3 linked regions of the Oreochromis niloticus genome follow. The protein of the gene in region 2 binds, or shares a complex with, the protein of the main gene of each other region. Links are inferred from orthologs where the notes say so. Each region holds a gene or a part of one and is shown on either strand. Other genes may lie near its edges.

What was found.
Region 1: snrnp40 (region 2) and cd2bp2 share a complex: the UniProt entries of both Homo sapiens proteins name them as parts of the U5 snRNP complex. The link is inferred for Oreochromis niloticus from reciprocal best matches to the Homo sapiens genes SNRNP40 and CD2BP2.
Region 3: snrnp40 (region 2) and cwc22 share a complex: the UniProt entries of both Homo sapiens proteins name them as parts of the minor spliceosome. The link is inferred for Oreochromis niloticus from reciprocal best matches to the Homo sapiens genes SNRNP40 and CWC22.

What each region holds. Positions count from the first base shown.
Region 1 is NC_031969.2:29,120,847-29,128,172, reverse strand, and holds the start of cd2bp2 (CD2 antigen cytoplasmic tail-binding protein 2), read right to left. Parts: upstream 3,047-7,326; 5' UTR 2,931-3,046; intron 2,733-2,930; exon of another isoform or gene 2,684-2,732; 5' UTR 2,680-2,683; coding exon 2,605-2,679; intron 1,239-2,604; coding exon 1,109-1,238; intron 1-1,108. Other genes in the region: pheta2 (sesquipedalian-1), read left to right, coding at 6,370-6,450, 6,548-6,848, 7,143-7,326. UniProt on the Homo sapiens protein: Involved in pre-mRNA splicing as component of the U5 snRNP complex that is involved in spliceosome assembly.
Region 2 is NC_031985.2:22,356,341-22,364,150, reverse strand, and holds the start of snrnp40 (U5 small nuclear ribonucleoprotein 40 kDa protein), read right to left. Parts: upstream 3,057-7,810; 5' UTR 2,936-3,056; coding exon 2,825-2,935; intron 1-2,824. Other genes in the region: zcchc17 (zinc finger CCHC domain-containing protein 17), read left to right, coding at 4,523-4,661, 6,364-6,464, 6,688-6,779, 6,866-6,966, 7,083-7,219, 7,489-7,659. UniProt on the Homo sapiens protein: Required for pre-mRNA splicing as component of the activated spliceosome. Component of the U5 small nuclear ribonucleoprotein (snRNP) complex and the U4/U6-U5 tri-snRNP complex, building blocks of the spliceosome.
Region 3 is NC_031987.2:24,052,882-24,060,800, forward strand, and holds the start of cwc22 (pre-mRNA-splicing factor CWC22 homolog), read left to right. Parts: upstream 1-4,873; 5' UTR 4,874-4,967; intron 4,968-5,689; 5' UTR 5,690-5,691; coding exon 5,692-5,746; intron 5,747-6,736; coding exon 6,737-6,957; intron 6,958-7,919. UniProt on the Homo sapiens protein: Required for pre-mRNA splicing as component of the spliceosome. As a component of the minor spliceosome, involved in the splicing of U12-type introns in pre-mRNAs. Promotes exon-junction complex (EJC) assembly.

The DNA of each region.
Region 1 (7,326 bases), on a different chromosome or scaffold from region 2:
TCACGTGTTAACCCCTTCGACATGTCAATGGCTGTGAACAAAGAGAAACTTGTAAATAACTCATGAAAGAATAAAGTTACGTTGAAACCAAGCACACCATTGTTTTTCTTGTGACATTACCAATAAGTTTGATGTGTCACATGGCCCTCTTCCTATTGAAAAAACAAAAGTTGTATCCAAGATGGCCGACTTCTAAATGGCCACCATGGTCACCACCCATCTTGAGGAGTTTGCCCCCTCACATATACTAATGTGCCACAAACAGGACTTTAATATCACCAACCATTCCCATTTTATTATTGTGCATGCATATAAATGGCCCACCCTGTATAATCTTGATCAGGACTTTGGATTCCCACAATTAAATGAGTACAATCATGTGATATTCAGAATACATGCTCCAACAGTTAAAACCTTGAGTACCTAACCACATGTGTGAATGTACCACACAAACTGAAATTTTCTAGATGTAGTCTGGATGACTAACACTATGGAAAAAGACATGCAGTGCCAAATAAACTGTCTGGCACTGCAGAAGGTGAAGCGCTTGTCCCTCAGAGTGACTCATCATTTGGTGTTTCGAAATGCTTTGGGTTTAGCAACTATTGTTAACAAAGTAGAAGTTATATACAAAGAGTGCTGTGTGTCTGCACTTTAAAGCAACACAACTAACTAAAAAGACACTACGACCAATGCATGAAGGCCAAGTAAAACAAGGCAATGCTCTAGTGAATCCTCCAAAAATTTGCTCAGATAACATGAGGCTGTATGATGTGTCTCTGTATCTGTTCAGCTGACAAAGACACACTGAAATCACCAGTCAACCAAAACTCATTTGGCCAAAAATGTTTGTCAACTTAACAGACCTAAGATATGTTATCCCCTTCAGCAATTACTTTTCCAAAGTGGCACTACCTCTACTATATGCAAAACATTCCAGGGGGAAATAAAAGGGATCATAATATCTCATAAAATCCCAATTCTAAGAAAACAAACTGTCCCTTTAAAGAAATCGCTCTAAATTTGACTCAGTGTGGGGGAAATAAACATGTGAAGAGTAACCAAGACCACTTAAGAGTTACAGATACAGCTTAAATAATCAACATACCCTCAACATCATCACTGTCTAAAATATTATATTTGCTGCTGTTTGTGTCTTCTCCTTCATCCTCTTCATCGCTGTCGAGGGAATGTTTACCCTTAAACCTGGAGCCTGGTCCGCTGACAGCTTCACAACTCTATTTTAAGAGTAGAAGAAAAAGAAAAATAACACAAATATTTCACCAAGTGAACTGAAATGACATAAAATTAAAAAAAATAAAGATATATTGACTACTCTTATTTCATCAACTTGTTCTTGAAAAATAAACAAAACAGACACACACACACACACACACACACACACACACAGAGTAGTTTGCTTTTAATGGTTTCGTCTCAAAAATGATCATAAAGAAAAAAAAAGGATAAAAAGGCTCTAACATTTTATTAACAGTGCCAAAGTACACGAAAAACTCTCTCAGTTAATGCTGCTTCTGCTGTGATCAAATTTAATTCTTAGGCCACCAAGTATAGTCTTTACTAGAGTTATTTGCTTATACAATGCATCTGTGTTTTTAGGATGACTATGAACTATAAATGACTGATATATAAATGTGTGCTCACACCATGGGGCTTGACAGATAATACCCTGCCAAACTGCTATCACACTGTGAAGTGTTTATGCCTTTCTCTGAAACTGCCATCACCAAGTACTTTTGGCTGCTTTTTAAATCACAGTTTGTTTTATTCATTTTATGAATAAATCCCTTCAAAGTATTCAGACTGGGCTTAAAAGTATGTGTGAACTGGAGAAGGATTAAATTAATAAAGAGACAGTCCAGCAGACGTTGAATACAGATGTGCACTATAAGTCACAGACTGAGTGACACTTCAAACTGCCAGCCATGTACACTTATGACCCTGCATGGATTAGACAAATTCCAAATTATTTTTTTGTTTTTTAAAGTCTCAATGATATATGCTGTACAATAATTCCATTCTGGGAAAGAACACCTCAAAAAAAGTCGTTAAAAGCCCAAATTTAGCATGAGATGCATGCCCTGACTGTACGTAAACATCTGCAGCTTTGCATTTGCTTTGAGCATCTCTGGTACAGATGCTTATGTGGCGTTAAGCTGTCTCTTTAGAACATGTTGCTAACTAGTTTGTTACATCAAAAGCTGTTACATTGCTAAACAATGACCACACATTTGCGTTTTTCAATACACTAAATACATAATAGATGAATACAGGCCAATATGATGACATCAGATTGTTTCACTCTACGAAAGTATGTGTCAGCATCAGCCACAATCTTTCTATTATTATTGACTATATACACAACTGTATCCATGACAATGACAAATACTAAATTTCGGTAACTGACTTATACTTGCGCATTATTGTGCCATTTTAACATTGGAGATATCGAAAGTACGTGTGTGATGCTTGGCTGTAAACAACTAGTAAGAATCTAATTGCACTACAAAATAATTATTGCTAACCTCTGCCACCACAGCAGTCTATACTTTTTAAATAACCGTGTAAAGAAGACAGCATTACCTTTTTATTCGGGACATCGTCTTCGAGGTCAAACTCACCGTTGCCATCCTCAAATGTTACTTTTCTTTTCGACATGGTGCTACAGGAGGAAAAACAGTGACTGTTTTATTCCTGTGCGACAACTGAAGGTGAGCTGTGATGTTACTTGCGCAGTTTTATTAAACTTTTAAGGCGCGTAACCCTGTAACGCTGTAATAATTAGCCGTGAACATGCAACTCGGGTTAGCTCTGTGGCTAACATGTTAGCCAAAAACATGAGCTACAAACCACATGCAAAACAAATACTACATCTCAAAACGCCTTTGTAGAGGTGAAATAACACTTACTGAGTATAATATTTGCACGCAATAGGTGAAATATGAAAAGGAATCTATTAAAGTAATGTTTTGCTGTAAAATGATGTAAAAACCTACCGAAAATTATTCAAACGACGTTCGTTTTCGACTCAGTTTCTTCTTTTCATGTTTTCACTTTGTCGTTAACAAACAATGATAAGGCGCACTACCGCCACCAGCTGACGAGGAGTATGAATTGTATTGTATTGTCTCGATGCATGCTCAATCATCCAGGTAAGTAAAAATCCCCCAAAATTGATTCTGTTCACTGAATCACTGAATCATCCACTGATAAAGCTAGATGAACAGAATCAACTTTGGGGAAATTGGATTGTATATTTCAGAAATACGTGTATTACAGACGTATATAGTGAGTTGTGTGTGAGGCTGGACACTAAGAAAGGAGAAAAGAACTTGTAACGATTGGTTAGGCAGAGAGGTCGAGCTGGATAGGATTTAGTTGTTAAAGATAGAGATAGAAAAGTACTAATGAGTAAAGAGAAAGTTCTTAGACTTAGAGGTGGTGATGAAGGAAGAAAATGCATGAGATGGGAGAATAGTGAAAGTCAGTAGAAGCAAGACAGAATACATGTGTGTGAATCAGAGGCGGGTGTAACAGTGAAGCTGCAAATGCTAGAGGTAGTGAAAGTAGATCAACCATCCAAACTAAACAACAACGCTCTAAAGAGGTGAAAAAGAGAGTGCAGGCAGGGGAGTGTTGGTGGATACAAGTGTGAGGGCTGATGAGTAACAGAAAAAAAAAAGCAGCAAGAAAGATTTACAAGGTGGTAGTGAGAGATGCCATGATGTGAAGATGGTGGCACTGACAAAAATACAGTAGGCAGCGATGAATATCCAAAGTATATAAGACATATACCAAGAAAGGGCTCCTCAGTGTATAAGGCCTTGGATGTCTTTACATGTTGGAGCCTTTTAGATTCTAAATTCTCTGAGGGCCATAAGGATAAAAAGGATAAGTGGATGTCAAAAATAGACACAAGCAAAGAAATGACGAGCCACATTTTCAGGAGGTCATTTAATGTTTTTCTGCTTTTAAATATATGGATAAATATTAACTTTTTCTGAAGAAAGCTCAAGAATCAAGGGACATTTGCTACACATACAATGAGAGACTTGATCTAAACTTAACTGATATTAAGTTTAGATCAAGTAACACAAAATGCAGAAGTGAGAGGGCTAAGCATCTCACTTCCAGGTAGCACTTCTTGTCAGGAAGGTTGGTTTCAACTGCCGGTGTATGACCCATCAGCTCAAAGCAGACTCAAGCGCAGAGGCGAGAGAATATAATGTTACCAGGGTTTTGTTACCAGGAAGTGGGTCGAGTTATTTATATTTCAACGCTCGTCCTCTTGTTCATGAGGGAGAACCGGTGGTAGTAACCTGAAACTATACATTCAAACATTGTCTGGATCTGGAGGAGAACAATCGGCTTCACGATCAGGAATGACAAGAATCAAAAGAAAATATGTGCGAATGTAATTAAGGTAAAGTCCACGCGAGAGGGCAAACTGACCCTGTGAGCGATTTATCATTGGCAGGGGTAAGTCTGAGTCACCGTTTTCTATTATGTCACTGTTGTTTATAGTTACTAGACAAAACTGTCGGATTATGGTAGATACAATTTAGCTGCACAGCTATACACCTGTTTTCATCGTGACTGTAACTTACTTATAGAAAAAGCTCATAATGGTTAAAATAGCAGTATGAACACAGCACTACAGCAGTAATAAATTTACTGTGTTGGATGTAGTTTTTACTGCTATATATGCAAGTATTGCAGTTTTTTGGTTCCTCTGTGACATGACATGGCGAGATTATTTAGCGTGGCTTAAATGGCTTAAAATTCATTCAAATCACATTTAAAAGACATTAAAATCAAAAGCAAAAAGTTAAAGGTACACAAACCCATTAAAGTTAAATAATCTGTACACTTTTAATATTAGCAGACTGTTTCACTAGAAACAGAAGATAAAATCTGTCTTGCTTGGTTTCACTGTAATGAGGAACACAGAGTAAGCTTGACTCTGATGACCTGAAATATCATTGCTTAATTTTTTCAAATTATTTATTTAGTTTTGAGTCCGTTTTTTAGCTTTTTCTGTTGTTTCAAAATGTTGCTACATCCACAACACTTTGTGGATGCGGTCGACTCACAGTCATGTAGAAAAATTAAAGCCTTGTGTAAAATCAGGCAGGTCATGTTAATAAATGTAACTAGCCTGACAATGATGAAAACTGATGTTAGTTTTATTAGTACACATACTTTTCATAATTTTCATCAAGTATTTTTTCATTTTTATTTTAATTTACATTTCTTTTCTTGAACACCTGCCTTTACTTTTTAAGTTTCATGGATGTTTTGTATCATACCAACAAATCCATTTAGTGCTTTAAAATCCTTGCTTTGACACACATAAAACAAGTACAGTAATTTAAGGGCCATGCATATTTTGCCGTGTCACTCTTCTGTCATGTGTTTGTTACATCTAGTGCAGATTTTGGTATAAATATCATCCGAATCAACAGCAATAAATCAGAACTTCTCCTGGTCGGCACTAAACGATTATTATCCAGAATTAACGATTTCTCTCTCACTATCAATAACTCGTTGGTCCCTATCTCTCCCTCTGTGAAAAGCTTGGGTGTCATTCTCGATAGCACACTATCCTTTAATTCACATATCAATAATGTTACACGTGCAGCATATTTTCAACTCCGTAACATTAATCGCATCCGCCCTTTCCTCACTCCTCATGCCACTGCCATTCTCATCCATAATCTTGTCATCTCTCGGATTGATTACTGTAATTCATTATTATTTGGTCTCACACAAAAATCTATTAACAAGCTTCAACGTGTCCAGAACTCTGCTGCCTGTATTATTACTAGGACTTCTTCTACCCACCACATCTCCCCAATCCTGAAGCAGCTTCACTGGCTCCCGGTTAAATTTCGCATCCATTTTAAAATAATCCTTTATACATTTAAGGCTATTCATTCTCTCTCTCCACCATACCTCTCTGATTTAGTACAGATGAACCTCCCATCCCGGTGCCTCAGATCTTCATCTTCTCTTTCTCTCTCTGTTCCTTCCGCTCGTCTGATTACAATGGGGGGCAGGGCTTTTAGTTGCTCTGCCCCTCGGCTTTGGAATTCCTTACCCCCTGACCTCAGAAATATTAGTTCATTCTCTCTTTTTAAGTCCACTCTCAAAACTCATCTGTTTAAAATTGCTTATGTCTAAACCTCTGTAACTTTTATCTGTTATTCTTATTTCTGTGTATATTTCCAGTTTTTGTGTTTTTATTCATTGTACAATGTCCTTGGGTGCTTTGAAAGGCGCTATTTTTAAATAAAATGTATTATCATTATTATTATTATCAGCGCTCTCTCTTTTTCAGTTGTTGTGATGAAGCTTCATGAGAAGATTTTAACCCATTACCTCTCGTGCACATCTCCAGTGGATAAAGAGGGATATCTCAACAAAAAGGTTTGAGATGATATACATCATAAACAATGTGAAATCACTTTTCATGTGCAAATACAATCTTTTTGTTTGACTTTATTTATCTCAAATGTCCCCATAGAAAAACCGAAATGACACCTATCACCGGCGGTGGTTTGTCCTGAAGGCAAACTTGCTTTTTTACCAGGAGCGCCCAGCTGACAGACACCTGCTGGGTGTCATTGTGCTGGAAGGGTGTGCTGTTCAGCACTCGGAGACCGATGGACATTTTACCTTCTCCCTGGTGTTTGGGCCTGGACTCAAAACCTACAGATTTGCAGCAGTAGATCGCCAGGGTCAAGAGAGCTGGGTGAAAGCTCTCCACTCAGCCAGCCACTGTTACCTCTCCATGCTGGTGAAAGACCTAGCGAGACAGTATGAAGGTGTGTTAGGAGTACTGCCACCTATACATCAAATTCTCATGTTTTTTGCTTTCAATCAGCCAGTTTTCTCAATATGATTTTAATCTATTGAAAAAACTGGCTGTACTTAAACAGCTCACTGAGCTCTTAAAAAAGCGTCAAAGTAGAATAGTCTGGTTTGATTACAGCAAGTTATTTCCCCTAGTCCTGAGATATCACAGCACATAACCTGAATGTAAAATTTAACTGTTGAAATTTTTACACTTTATATATACAAGCAGGGTTCTCTGTTCATATTTTGGTTTCTATTCACAGAAGCTAAGCAGCAGCAAAGCCTGGGTGAGTCCCACCCCTCTGTCAGTGCCCTCAAGCTGCCCACAAACAGCTTCTTATTCGCCACAACACAGCAAACAGCAGTAGTCAGAGAGGGGAGGAGCTTCAGTGCCAGCACCCTTTTACAAGCACCTTCCATACCAGCTAAAGCAGTGGCAAAAAAGTC
Region 2 (7,810 bases):
GAGGTCGTAAGTCTTGCATAGGGTATCAAAAGCCATAATTTTAGATTTTACAATAACCGAACACCTAGCAGTAATTCCATGGCACACCCATTGTTTAAATCTACTATCGTGGGAAGCAGGTAAAAAATCAGGGTCATACGCTGGCCACCTCAGAAGTTTTATCTCTTCCTGTAGTTGTGCCTGCTTGACCACTCCCCTCCATATTTTTAATGTAAAAGTGACCCATTGGCTGGGCGTCAAGGTACCGTCCAATTCAGAAGCTGTGTGACCAAGTCTAGACTGGATTGGCGTGTCCGAAAGAGACATCTCAATCGCCTTCCACCTCGCACAAAAAGATGGATTACACCAACACACCAAAGACCTCAGCTGAGCAGATAAGTAGTAATCCCTTAATGAAGGTAGAGCCAAGCCCCCTTTTTCTTTCGGCAACTGCAAAGTAGAGAACTTCACCCTTGGTCTTTTGTTAAGCCAAATGAATCTCGAAATCTGTTTATTCCATTCCCTGAACTGCTTCTCTGGAATTTGAATAGGTAAAGCAAGGAAAAGATAGAGTAGTTTGGGAAGAATACTCATTTTAATTATCTGTATCCTGTTGCCAAGGTCAAGAGGGAGCAAGGCCCAAATGTTGAGATCGCTATATATTTCTCTATTAATACGACTGTAATTAATATCATACAGTTGTGTTAGATCTTTAGGCAGAAACACTCCTAAATATTTGATAGCAGTTGCCTTCCAATTAAACTTGAATTTTGACAATAATGTCTGGTCTGGAGAAAAATTAAATGTCAGAACTTGAGTTTTTTTGACATTAAGAACATACCCTGAATACAGGCCATATGTTTCCAACATCCCCATTAATACTGGTATACCTGAGCTGGGATCCGTGATTGTTACCAAGACATCATCTGCGTATAAACACACCTTGTACTCGTCCCCTCCTATTACAATCCCTTTCAACGATGTTTCCTGACGTATAGCCTGGGCTAGAGGTTCGATAAACAAGTTGAAGAGGTAAGGGCTTGCTGGACACCCCTGTCTACATCCTCGTTCTAAAAAAATAGTATCGGAGAGGCTACCGTTATCAATTCTTTCTTGATTCCTGATCAGTTTTCTTTGTGGGAACAAAAGCCGGGATGCAAAGGCAGCTGTTGGTATAGAAACGCGTCCTGGCAGGTGACCTGGGAGGGTAGAAGCACTGGAGAAAGAACTGATACATCTGGAGGCAGACGATTAAAGGTTTGAATATCTTGTTTATAAATATTCAGGTAACTTATCCGGTTTAATCATACTGGACATTTTTAGCTTGTATTTATAATTTATTATAAAATCAGATATGGACTGTGAAAGTGGGTCAAAGTGTTGTTTTTTTTTTATAATAGTCTCAAAAACAAATGTCAAGGTCATATTTAATGCAATGCCGGTGTTTTAATGCGAATAAAGACGATCTGCAAAGATCATCTGCCTCCATCTCACTCCATCCCAAGCATCCTCCTCTGTCACACCAACCCTCTGCATGACATCCTTCACTACATCAGTGAATCTTCTCTGAGGTCTTCCTTATTTCCTCCATCTTCAACATCCTTTGTTCATTGTGTCCACTATCCCTCCTCTGCACATGTCCAAACCATCTCAGCTCCCTCTCTAACCACTCAATCTGCAATGTCCCTCTGATGCAACCATCTTTAATATTGTCCATTCTGGTCCTTCCCAATGTAAATCTGAGCGTTTTCAATTTCTCAGTGCCATCATCTACCATCCAAACCATACATACAGCAGGTCTCATTGCCATCTTCCCTTTTCCTCCTGCTGCTGTTCTTCCACAATCCATCGACTCCATCCTGGCTGCACTCTCTTCTTCCCCTCTCTAATGCTTTGCGTTGCTTTGGATGTTTGATTCCATTTATGTAAACTCATATACCTTCACTGTTACACCTCCCATCAGACTGGAATTTGATGTGTCTCCCTCTCATTCACACACGTGTTCTGTTTTGTGTCTTCTGACTTTCATTCCTCTTCTCTCCACCACATACTTCCACCTCACCAGGCTGTCTTCGCCCTGCTCCCTCCTCTCACTACAGATCGGCTGCAGACATCATAGTCTACTGAGACTCCTGCCTGGCCTCATCTTTCAGCCTGTCCATCAAGACTGCAAACGAGAAAGGGGTTCAGAGCCGAACTCTGACATAATCCTAGCCCCATCTTGAATAGTCGAAATGTCAGAGTTAAGTGATTTAACAGCCAAAGGAATAAAAGACTTTAAGTATCTATTTGTTCTACACTGACATATAAAGTAGGGGTTACCTGGGAGTAACTTCCTGAATTCAGAATAGAAATGGTGGTCAAGATAGTTAATAATGTCTTTTACTTTCTTTATCACCCGAGTTTCTCAGTGTGAACACAAATCTCTTTGCCTGACCCCCATTATTTTGGAGCTGGTGTTATCAATGGTGCTGAGAGGGTTTCTATCCTTAAAAGATAAAACATTAAACCAGAATACAAAAGAACATGTTTTGTGATCACTTTAAAAACTCTTTTTAAACAACAATAGTTTACCCAAATCCAGCTGGGTGTAGGAGACATTGTAAAAAGCATCAAAGTGAGCGCTAATGCTGTGCTAATTTTATTTTCATGTTTATCTGTCTCGCTGGCAGCCCAGATAATGAATCTAAAATCACCACAAAGGGAAAATGTGACTTTTTTCCAAGCGGCTTTATATATAATTAATCATAAAGCGTACACAGTATAGTGTGGTTACTTGTTCTAAATGTTTGAGTCTACTTCAGTAGCCACCCCTCTCGGTTGTAGTAACAGCTACCCTCCGTACCGTGGCCACGAGTTGCTGAGACTGCGCCGCCGCTATCAGCTCCGTCCGGGGCCGCTTCACGGCGGAAGGAACCACCGCCATGTCTGCCGCTCTCTTCATAGGCTCAATCATCTTTACAGGACAAAAATCCGCAAAAATCTAAAGCTTTAATGCTACAATTTACAAAAAATGAATGGACGTCTTTCATACGAGACGTCGGAGGAAGTAGCACCAACGTATCAACACAGAAGAAGTACTTCCTGTGAGTGCGAGGAATACTATTGGTCGAGGTTTGCAAAGGCTAAGATGATTGGCTGATTGTGAGCAGCAGATTAGCCGCTTCGCTTGTTGTTGAAACGTTTTGAACCGGATGTAAAATAACCATCGTATCAATCCGAAAGGTAACGCTGATATCATTTTTAAATTATTTTCTCTTAAATTATTGCTGCATGACGTTATGTTTATTTATTTGTATAAACTAGAACGTTAAGCAGGCGCGGGCCTATTTTCTTGTTCATATTTTATTTATTCAATATCTGTTTATTCATTTATTATAGCTCTTTAGTGTGGCTAACATTAGCCGAGGAGCTGCTGTTCCATTCAGTTTTTGTGTTTGAGATAAAAAGTGAGTCTAATAGGTTTTTATTGCTATCCAAGAGATTCAACACAGCTGTGAAGCTCATAAAAATCACTTTCAGGTACAAAAATATGACACGGCTGAATAGCAAGTCAGCATGCGAGTTTAAAGTGGGGGTAAAATAATCAGTGCACATAATAAAATCTCTTTTTAGATTTAGCCTTTGAATACTGTTAGGGTCAAATGAACTGTGTTGACATTTGACTTCAGTAAAAAAAAATATGTCTTTGTTTTAGCATGAAATTTCATGACTTTTCCTAAAGTGACCCAAAATACACGAAAATGAAAATGTTTAAAAATTCATAGTGTTGTACAATGAGGCTGTTCTAGGTCGTATCTATTCAGATGGATTTTAGATCCACCAGTGTGGTTTAAATAACAGAAAATGTTGGTTTTAGGGAATTTTAAAATGGTACATTCCATTCATGGAATAATAAATCGGCATAGAAGTATTCATATATTGAGGTCATACAGAGGTCAGAGGGTGCCTTGGCACAGACACAAGATCTGAAATAGGATGCCATCATCATGGGGTAGTGAGAACCGTTGCCTTTACACCAGGAAAGAACCTGGCAGTGGCCTTTTGGTGTCAAGTTTCCTCTAGGTACTTGGGCTTCTGGCCACACTCCAAAGACATACATGTTATGTGATTCTAAATTGGCTGTGGTTGTGAGGTGAATAAAGTGCTTAAAAGTGCTGCATGAATGTATAGTTAAAGCGTGCTTGTAGTTTAAAGTGGTCATAAAGACTAGAAAACTGATGTATAAATTCAAATACAATGCAAAAGTACCCGCCATGTAAGAATGTGACCTACAAATAAACAAATTAGAATTTGTTTGCAGGTCAGCTGAGACTGAAGAAGTCACTTGGATGAGTGACGAAACGTTTCTCCCACAAAACGCTACGTCCAGATGAACAGATTCAACTTTTGGAAAATTAGAATTAGTTTATTCTGAGCGAACAGAGTTTAAACTCACTAAGATTAAAACAGAGATCATAAATGCACCTGATCTGCCATTTCAGGGATTGTGGGAATCCAAGTGCAAGATTCAGTTATTGGTAACCGTGGCTGTTTTGAGACGATGTCCGACCGTGACCGCCGAACATCAGAGCCGGCTGGGCTGGATGGTTTGCCACCACTGTACAGCATTGCCAAAGGAGAGGTGGTTTCAGTGCAAACTTATGGAGCATTTGTCCGACTGCCAGGATACAGGAAGGAAGGTCAGTGAAAACATTTGATTATTCAGATGAAAAATAGGTTAAAGGAGAAAGAAAAAAAAAAAAGTGTTGTTTTGTCTGGAGATCTCTGCTGGGGATTTCTTCCCACTGGTGCCAAATGCTTGCTCTTAATGTGTCATTTGATTATTGGGGTTTCTGTCTATTATTGTAGCGTCTTTACTTCACAATACAAAGTACCTTGAGGTGACTGCTGGTATGATTTGGTGCTATATAAATAAAATTGAATTGAATTGAATTGAATTGAATTAGTGTACTGTCTCACTGTGAGTAAGAAGACAAGGCCGGAAGACTTCAAAGACACAGGTCAAAGTAAGACATTTCACATTGTTGTTATGTTTAAATCTTTTTTTTTCTTTTTGGTTTATTAGTACAATCATAGTTTCTTCTATTATAATTCATTTGTGTTATCTTCATAGCAACAGAAATTGAAGATGTGTGTGTACAGACAGGAGGTGTGGGAGGATGGGTTTGGGCGGGGTTGATAAGAAGTGGGACACGTTGATGAAGTGGGATGACTCGTATCTATATTTACACTTGGGTTACCTCTTTGATAATGAAGTATGATTTATTGTGGCTTGGCCTTGACCTACATGTCCAGTTAAACAGCAGCTGTTCATTTTCACCACTGGAGGGCGAACTGAACAACTTGTGCTCACACTTTAATAACCTGTAGCCTAAAAAAATGTTTTGGACAGAACTTGTTTGCTTCATTTAAATTACACTCCCTTTGAAGTGAGTCAGTTAAAGTGGTTTGAAGTAGATGTAATGATTAAGCCACAGTTATATGATTTAGTTGGTCAAATGTTTTTGAAGCTTGATAACAGCCGGAAATAAGTTTGATTCTTAATTTAGTATTTGGGTTTTCATTTGTCATCCAACACGTATTCATGTGTCAACCTTTTCTGTAGGTCATTAATGCTGACCATAAAGTGCTGTACAAAAGTCTTGAGGCACTCCTTATTTCTTTATATTTTGCTGGGAAAGAGAAAAATGGGTGCAGTGATTTATTCAAACCTGTGCAAACATGAATGGAAATACAGAGTTTGTATTCTAATGAGCTCAAAAGTTAATATTTGTTATAACCACGTTTATATTTCAAAACAGCCTTAACTCTCTTACCTAACTTTCTTGTAATTTCTTTAGGTAGTCTTCAGGAATAGTTCTCCAGGCTTTTTGAAGGACATTCAAAGTCCTTCTTTGGATGTTGGCTGCTGTTTGTTCCATTCTCTGTAAAGATGATCCCACACTGTTTCAATAATGCTGAAATCTGAGCTCATGGGAGGCTAATCCATGACTGATGGTGTTGCATTATAAGTTTTCCTATCTAGGTGTGCTTTTGCTGCATTGGTATCATGTTTTACAGATGGCTGTAGACACTCTTGTACTTCTCTCATGACCTCCTCTGTACATACTGACAACGATATGAGCAAAAAAAAATAATAATAATTTTGGATTCATAACTCAATAAGACCTGTTGCAACTGATTTTCAATCCACTTCTTGTGTAATGTGGCATTTGGCCTTCAGAAAGGGCTGAAGAACTGTTGCTCTTGACCGTTTTAAAAATTACGAAAGAAAGTCTGGTTCCAAATATAAAGACATGAGGGTTTGCTTAAGACTTTTGAAACTATAAATGTATTTTAGGTGATATCTAAGTAAATGAGCTTTGTCCTTTGTTTTCACAGGTCTGGTACATGTGAGTGAGATGTCAGCTTCCCGGGTTGAGAGCGCTTCAGAAATTGTGGATGTGGGAGAACATGTGTGGATTAAAGTCATAGGGAGAGAGGTAACAATATCACACGTTTTGGACAACATTCATTAAATGAAGGTATTCTTCAGCTTCAAACCCCAGAAAGGCTACATTAAAAGCCCGTCTTTACCCTTAAACATGAAAGGGTGTCAGAAACTGCCACTCCAGTGGTCTCAAATACAACCTGGTTCTCATAAAGATAGTCACAGAAGTACACACACTGAGCAGAAAGTTTACAGCTTCTTCCTCTGCTCATTAGATTCAGGGTGACAAGGTGAAGCTGTCTTTCTCCATGAAAGCCGTCAATCAGGGAACAGGGCGGGACTTGGACCCCAACAATGTTATGGCAGAGTAAGTGCTTACGGATTCATTTTGTGTGTTTTCATGTGTCTGCACAGGTGTGTGTGTGTTGTTAACGTCTCTGTGTGTGTTTATAGGCAGGATTCAAGGCGGCGTAAGCAGTTTAGAGACCAAACCAGCAACAGGATCACGCTGGAGGCTGTGCTCAACACAACGTGTTCAAAGTGCGGCTGCAAGGGTGAGGTGACATCATGAGTAGTGTGATGTGTCAAAGAGACTGTGCTTGTTTCACACAGATGGCTGATTTGCTTGAATTCACACCGCGGTTCTTAAATAAATTATTACTCTCTTCAGGTCACTTTACAAAGGACTGTTTCTCTGCTCCTGGCCTGCAGTACGCTCTCTTGCCTGAAGAGGACGATAAAGAGCCAGAGCAGCAACCATCTACAGCTGCACAAAATCAAGATTCAGACAAAAAGAAGAAAAAGAAGGTGACGATGTGACCTTTAAAGCCCTGCACAGCTCTCGCTTCCTTTTCCGCTCTAACTTTCCTTTGCTGATTCTCTCTTTCTCTTTCATCTGATGCAACAACCCCCACATGTCTCTCTGCATGACATGCTGTTGTGACCACATTGGAAGTCTGTTGCCTGGAAAAATGATTTTGTGCTGATTTAAGAGGAACATACTTCAGTGTTTGGGTTTTTAGGTATTGAAACTGCTTTTTTGTGCAACTTCTTTGTTTTTAACGCTTATTCTCCAGGAAAAGAAAGCAAAGAAGAAGAGTAAGAAGAGGGAGAGGAAGGAGTCTGAGAGCGACAGCAGCAGCAGCAGTGAATGTAAATCCAAGAGGAGGCGACAAGAACATGAGCGTGACAGAGACGACAAGAAGAAGAAGAGACACAAAAAGCACAAATCGCACAAACACAGCTGAGACACACACAGGGGGAAAGTGGTTGGCAGCAGACTGAGAGAAAGACTTCCAGCTTTAATATCTAAACCTTCATTCACTATCTGTCAAGTTCAAAACTTGAAGGGAAGCGCTGTAAATATAAACATGTGATAACCTCCACTTGTCCTGAAGT
Region 3 (7,919 bases), on a different chromosome or scaffold from region 2:
TCATTTCTATTGTGAGCTTCGGGAGATTTTCTTTGTGTACAAGCTGCGACCAGGCGTTTAGGCTCAAATCGCTTTGATGTCTTCAGGCCTGCAGTGCTGGGGAATTTAAACTTCCCTCAAATATGTTAAACATAAGGTAACAGGCCTGCTTTGAAAATGAAAGGAGTAAAAAGTACAGATATCCATGTTAAAATTTAAGGAGTAAAAGTTATAAGTTATCAGAAAAATAAAAACTCAAAGTGTAGGTACCTGAAAATTCTACTTAAGTACAGTAACTAAGTATTTGTATTTCGTTACTTCCCACCTCTGATGTCCAAGGGTTCTTGACTTCAAGTAGTCATTGACTGCAAAGGATTCCTAAACATAACATCATCTAAAATGATGTTAGTCTGTTTAATTTGAGACTGAAAATGGGTGCTGTGTATAAAAATTGATGTACTTCCTAGGGATGTTAACCTACTATTGATCATGTGAGTTGTCACATGAGCAAAGGTGTGAAAACATGAGTCATTCCCATCACCTGGCCGACAACTGAAACCTCTGTGAGACCTTGCCCCACCCCACCATCATGTGAGCTGTATGTCACTTAAATGTGAAGAGACTTAAACAGTGGATGCTGCAAGCCAGTCCACAAATGCAACACGGGAGGACAAGACTCAGTGGCACACCTGCAATACCTAAGAAAGGACACGCTTCCCAGGATGCCAGTGTTCACATTTTGGACAAAGACAATTGGTTTAAGAGAACAGTAAATGAGGCCATGTATGTCCACTATGATCGACCATCTTTGTGGGTTATGACTTCTCCAAGGGAACAGCCCTCCCTAGTGGTGCATGTCACCTGGGACTCTGCACCAGTTGTTCTATGAATGACAAAGCCTCTTGGATGATAAGTGAAACATCCTGAAAATATCTAAAGAAGTCAAATTGCCTTCTTTTTAAGCTCTCAATATTACTGGCCAGTAAGAAGTATTACTCACAGATCATCAGGTTTCTGCACACTTTGTGAAACACCCTTTTTCCACCTTATTCTTCAATGGTCAAGTCAGTCACCTGATCTCAGCCCAGCAGAGTGTGCTATTTAGTTATTAAATACAAAACTAAATGCATAAAGACCCACAAATAAGAAACAATTGGAGGAGACTCCAGTAAAGGCTGAGCAGAGCTTCTCAAAGGAGGAAACACAGCATATGGTGATATTGAGAGGATTTACTTAAGTAGAAGTACAAATAGTTTTGTTTAAAAAGTACTGATTCAACTTCTAGTAAAGTAAAAGAAAATCAATAAAATCTTTTTACAATAAATTGTTTTTACTTTAAATACCCATTTATTGAATACTATATATCATCTTCTTTCTGATATAAAATAGGTTTCTTTTCCTCCCTAACTGCTCTGTCACAAAACGAAGCTGCGATGGCCGGGAATCGAACCCGGGTCAACTGCTTGGAAGGCAGCTATGCTTACCACTATACCACCATCGCTATAAGCACATCTGGAATCGAGCTTCTGTTGTGTCGCCAGTTTATATGGTTGTATAAAAACAGCAGGAAGAAAAGAAGCATTAGGGCTGCTCAGTTAATCGAATTTTAATCTCGATTACGATCTGGGTTTTCAACGATCATTAAAAATGACTGAGCCGATTATTAGCACCTCCCTCGTGCTTTACTCTCGCGCTGCTCCGTGTGGCAAATCGAGCGCACCTCTCTGCGTTTCGAACACGCGTCACAACAATTAAGAGGACCCGAGGGAAGCTCGGAAAGCTAAGCAGAAGTTATTTGGAGAGGAGAGGATAATGGCTGCTGAAGAAAGAATGCCGTTGGTTGAAAAGAGAGGTAAAACGACTCCAGTGGTGTGGAAACCAATGTTCCCTCTAAGCTGCGCACGTGCGCAATTGCGCACTGCTGGCACGGTCTCTGCGCACAGAAAATCTGCGTTGCGCACAAAAAAAATCTAACCTGAATTGAAATTAAAATTAAAACTTTAACAATTCTGTTTTGCAGTGTTAGTCAGTAAGTGACTGGCTGCTCCTGTATGGGATTAGAACGATGCCACCTTATCCTATAGTCCAGCCAATAATGCGATTCACATTCGTATATACGCAGCCAATCAACGTTGTTGACAGGCTATGACAGCGTCCTTATGTGCCGACACCGGTGTTTTAGCTAGCAAAGCGGCGTGGCTGATGTGCAGAGAAGCCACATTAATGACAACGTGTACAACCATTGGAGATGTGAGCAGGACAGACGGAACAATTGACGGACTTTATACCAGTTTTTAAATTGTGTTGATAGGCCACGTAAAACCAGAGTTATGATAAAAATATCTGCAATGTTTGGTTTTCTTCCTGAATACTATCGTTGTTTATATTTACTGCGGGAAGAAATGGTAAAAACGGCGTTTTATAAGGAAAACGCTCGAAAGCACTCTCCGCCTGTGAGCAAAAACAAAACCAAAAAACCCCCCACCCTTTCCTATTGGTCAAAAAATGTACCATGTCGACCAATCAAAAAATGATTTGCCAACGTGGCATCTAGTTGTTAAGAAACGGGGGGAGTTTTAGGAGTGACGGCGGTGTTCTGAGATGTGAGAGATTTGAGACGTTTAGCGCAAATCTTGTGTAGTTAGTGTGTAGTCAGTGTGTAGTGTAGTCAATAGTTTTGTTGTGTGTGTCAGAACAATGAGGCGACTGCTGAATGTTACAGGTGTTACAGCAGTGATACAGCTCCTGTTGTCAGGCCTGCAGGTATCAGGCTGTTGTTCTCCTTTATCTCATATTGGACAGAAATTATTTTTTGGAGTGGCGCAAATAATTTGTGTGGCATCAGATTTGATGCAGAACAGCTGATTGTTCTGTAAATAGTTTGAAATGTTTATTTAAAAAAACGCCTTGGCTGCATTAAAAAAAATAAATAGCTGCAAAAAACTTTGTTGTTTGCCAAACCGAGTTACTTTTTTGAAGTAGTAACTATATAATTAATTGCCCAACATTGGTCATTATATACTGTATTTTGCAGACAGAGAGTTATAGGACTCTCTCCCAGACCACAGACTCATAATACAAGTCAGAGCTTTATGAAAAAAAAGAAAAGAAAGAAAGTTGTGTTTTCAAAATTGGAGTTCAAGTTATTTTTACTTCCAATAGTGTTAACATACTACACAGGTCATGAACAAGATTTTTTAAATTTTCATTGTAAGTGGGCTAAAGCAGTTAATTAAAAGTAGTCTAACATAAATGTAAATGCTGTAATTTGATTATTTTAATAAACCATGTAACTTGGATGGATTAGATGCTGGCGTGACCACAGTGCACACGTCTGATGTCTCACAGTGGTCCAAGGCAGCGGTCCCCAACCTTTTTTGCGCCACGGACCGGTTTATGCCCGACAATATTTTCACGGACCGGCCTTTAAGGTGTCGCGGATAAATACAACAAAATTTAAAATTTCCAGTTTATCAAATACCCCTGAGCAGTACTTGCCTTTTGGTATTCTTCCTGTCCTCTCTTCCTTACATTGTTCTCCATCTCTGAGTGAACTTAACTCTTATTCTTTTCTCTTTTCTCCCAGTTTTACCATTAGCAAGTGTGTGTTTGTGTGTTGAGCTTTTAGAAATTTTGCGTTTGAACTGACCTGCCGCAACACGTTCTTCCTTTTATGCTCCTCTTTAGTAGTGCTAGCTAGATGCTGAAGTACCGTGAAGACTACGTCATTGTCGGGGGCCTTTTAAACCCGAGCACACTGCTATAAATAACGCAGAAACTATATGTTTTTGCCTCTTTCATCTCTGTATGCAATGGAGTGATGGATACACCAACAGGGTTGTATTTTATGTGTTATTAATCCCTCCGTTTAGGCTCAAATCGTTTTGATGTCTGAAGGCCTGCAGTGCTGGGGAATATAAACTTCCTTCAAATATTTTAAAAATAAGCTAATGGGATTGTACGGAAGAGGATTAGGGCCACTGGGAAAAAAAGTGCGCAGGTCTTTTTTTTTTTTCTTCTTTTCCAGAATTCTAAGAAAAAAGTCAACTGTTTACAGTTGTCTTGTTTTCAAGCTCTCAGTATAACTGGCCAGTGCTTTTCCTACCTTTAAACCTACACACACAAAAAAAGAAGTATTACTAATGGAAATGGGGCTTACTCACAGAACTTCACATTACTACACACTTGGTATTATGATATAGTAAACCATATGACAACATTATTTTTCCTGAATGTTCTTCCATAACTGTTCTAAAAAACTAAACAGTGATTTAATGTGTCCTCCCATACAGCTGAAAGTCTTTCTGTGCCTCTCTATGTTCAAAGATTTAACAAATAAGGTATTCATGTAAAAACAAATTTAAAAAAAAAAAAAAGTGTTTTTAAAATATAAAGTCAAACCTTTGGGTTGATTAGTCAAATAAATTTTGTGTATGGTATCTGGAAATTTTGAAAATTCCCACTTGCTCAGCATCCCAAAACTTCAAGGCACTCAGAAGTAAGTAAAAACTTCAGGATGCTAAGTGAAAATTTTCACATATGCAACTCTAAACTTTGAGTGATTAAGTAAATAAACTAAGATTTATTTATTTATTTAGATATTTAGATTTATTTAGATAAATAAAGCTTTGTTTTGAAGCTCAATATTCCCTTTTAAACCACAACTGAGGACCTTGAAAATAAAAAAAACCCAGAATGAAACAATAAATGAACAAATTTCATGTGTACACAAGGCCCTGTGTGTTTGTTTTACTTTATTTTATACACTTTTTTTCTTGTGTTACAACTTTATTTATAAATATTAAATTCTGAAATAAAGTTAAACTGGAAAAGAAAAAATAACAACAAAAACAGTAAACCAAACTTCACAAACTGCGTTTATTGTGAAATCCGGAAGCGATCTGTCACCCGGAAGTAATGTTGGTTATTATAGGAAGTTTTCCGCCAGACGAACGACAGTGATTTAAGGAAAGCCGGGAAATTGTATGGTAAGGACATTAAAACCCAAACAAAGCAATTTAGCTCGACAGACCTTCTGTCAAAGTACGAAGGAAATAAAATCTTAAAGGTTTTAGTGACAGCAATTAGTAGCGAGAAGCTTAGATCGCAATAGCCGAGACAGCATTAGCACACAAGCTAACTTTAGCTCAGCTTAACACACATGGCGATAAAACTGAGGAGTTGATTTGAAAAGACGTTTTAGTAACGCGTGGTGTTGCTGTTTCAAGAACCTTCCCAAAATATGTTTATTCGGCTATTAAGACGTACAAACTTGATCATTTGGTAATATTTACCTCAGGAAATGCCCAGTTACCATATTGTTACCTCTTCCGTCCGTTGGCAATGATAATTTTTGACTCTGTTCGGCGATTAAACATTACCAGGAAGTCATCATCCCTCTTATTTTATCGTTAATCACTCACAAAACGCTTAATAAACAGTAAGTGTATCCTTTGCTCTGCATTGAGTATTGGTGATTTAATGTAAAGTTTATCCGGAGCAGACTAATGTCAAATCAACAAGTCTGTAAACAGTCCTTCGTAGAAATACGTGGATCGTGTCAGAGAACCATGTCAGAAAGTTATTAAATCTTATTAACTCATTTACATGTTTTTTTTTTTTCTTTTTTCCTAATGTAACGGGGTTTGTGGAAATGCATTTTACCTATCAAAGTGAATGTCTTAGTTGTCTTCCCCCCCCCCCCTTCCAGGTATGGACTCTGCAGACAGAAGTCGAAGTCCCAGTCCTGCACAGAGAGAAAACAGTGGTGAGTAAATGCTGCTGTGAACCCTACACTTAATGTTCTTGTAATAAGAGTTGCTTTAATCTCCATCCGTTATACTTGAGCAATACGATGTTGCAATCGTTAGCTGTCACCTCACAGCAAGAAGGTTCTGGGTTTGAGTCCAGCAGCCGGGTCTTTCTGCATATTTTCTTTGTACCCCTTGCTGGGAACTCTGGTGTGCTTTCACCTGTTAGTCCTGATTTAGATTTCTGCGGTGAATCTTTGTAGAGCTAACGACATAATTTACGTGTTGTGTTTGTGCTGGTGCATTATGTCTAAATTAATGTGTGGGTCTGTGTACATGTTTTTCATTCAGTACCAGTTGATAGAAACAAATAAAATGCACGGACCTTTTCCCTCCAGTTTTGTAGTGGTCAGTTTTTTTTAAAGGCAAATATATTTGTCTCAAGTTTTTCATCTTCTTTGTACATTCCCACACGTCCATTTTAATAGTTTTGGCAGTTTCTCCTCAGGAATTTGCTGACATTTGTGAGTCCTTATATTGATGCTATAATTATTATCTGTTATGTTGAGATGATGATTGTTATTCTCTCACTGATAAATTCAAAAACTGCTGTGAAAAAGTAGCCTGAAATGCATGAGAAGAATCTATTGGTGCAACATGTAATTAGGTTGCACTGTAGGGTGCACGGTATGAATGGTAACAGAAACAGCGTTTTTGTGGTTAGCTGGTGTCCATTTTATTTGTTTAGTTGTTTGACTGTCCTTCACCTACGTGGCCACCAGGCATATGGGTTAACAAGTTTCGCAAAGTTTGCGGTTATGGCGTAGCTATTGAATAGTCATAGTCCAAAGCATAAGTCTCCGGTTAGCCCTGTGAGAGACTGGTGACCTGTTCGATGTCTACCCTGCCTTCTGCCCCACAGTATCCCTAAATTGAGTAAGTGGAAGAAGAAGGATATGTTGAATGGATATACTAATACTGCTCTTGATCTATTTTTCTCTCTGCAGGACCTTCAGAGAATGACTCTAGTCCAGCATCAGGCAGACCCCAGCAGGCTGGCTCAGTTGAAAGAAGCCCCAATGAGCGACGGTCCCCACAGCCAAGTCCTGTGGGCCGCAGGCCCTCCAGGAGCCCATCCTCAAGCAGTTCAGACAGCACCAGCAGCAGTGATGAGGATGAACATCATTCAGCACTGAGAAAGATTCGAAGCAGCGTGGCTCAGATCAAAGTAAGAAATGTGGCTTTTACTAGTCTGTCACATTTCATAATGTACAGACTACTGCGGTAGAAATGGAAGAATCAGATGCTTTCAGACAGTTACAGAGGGTGAAACATATGCTGAAAGCCTTTTTTTATATTTATAAATATATATATTGTATATTATAATTCCTCATCAATCAAAAATGTTGAGTTTGGAGTGAGAAATGCCATTAATAGTAGGTGGAGTAAGTAAGTTGATTTCCCCAATATATACCGAACAATAGTTGAGATTCACAGTATTAATAAAAATGATCCGGCCAAAACAAGAAATTCAGAAACACCAAAATCTTAAAAAGTTAATGCAGTCAGATGCATTGGTAACTGGAGTTTAGTGATCCATGTTATGTTTTAGATACTGTCCAAAGAAGAGTTCAGGAACTGACAGTATTCATTCAGTTGATGTATTTTTGTGTGGAAATGTGAACTGAAGCATTTTGTTACTATTCTTGCCTAAAAATGATCTTGAATGTCAGAATAGTTTTGAATAAAGTACCTGAAGAAGAAGCGTATTTACTTAGTGTTTTTTCATGTTGTGCTTTTAAGACATGATTATGTTGCATTTGAAAATGTGGCTGTGCATTAGTGTGCACATTGCACAGTAGATTATTCAGGCTGCAGTTCTGGACAGCTGGTGTGAAAAACTGCTTGGTCTGAAGAGATGGTTACCATGAGAACAGGACCCAGTTTAAGCTTGAGGCACCGATGTAAGACACAGTAGCATGTTTAATGTCAGCTGGCCTGATTTATGAGTGCACCCAGTGAAGAAGACACTGAATAAAGATTTAACTTGTTGACTGACAGAATCACAAATCAAAGAGGACTTTGTTTCCATTACTGTCAACTTAGACACGAGCTCCCCAGGTGCATACAGGCTTTTACTTGATGCAGGACCTGAGGCAGACCGACTTCATATTGCTGGGTTGTCTCTCT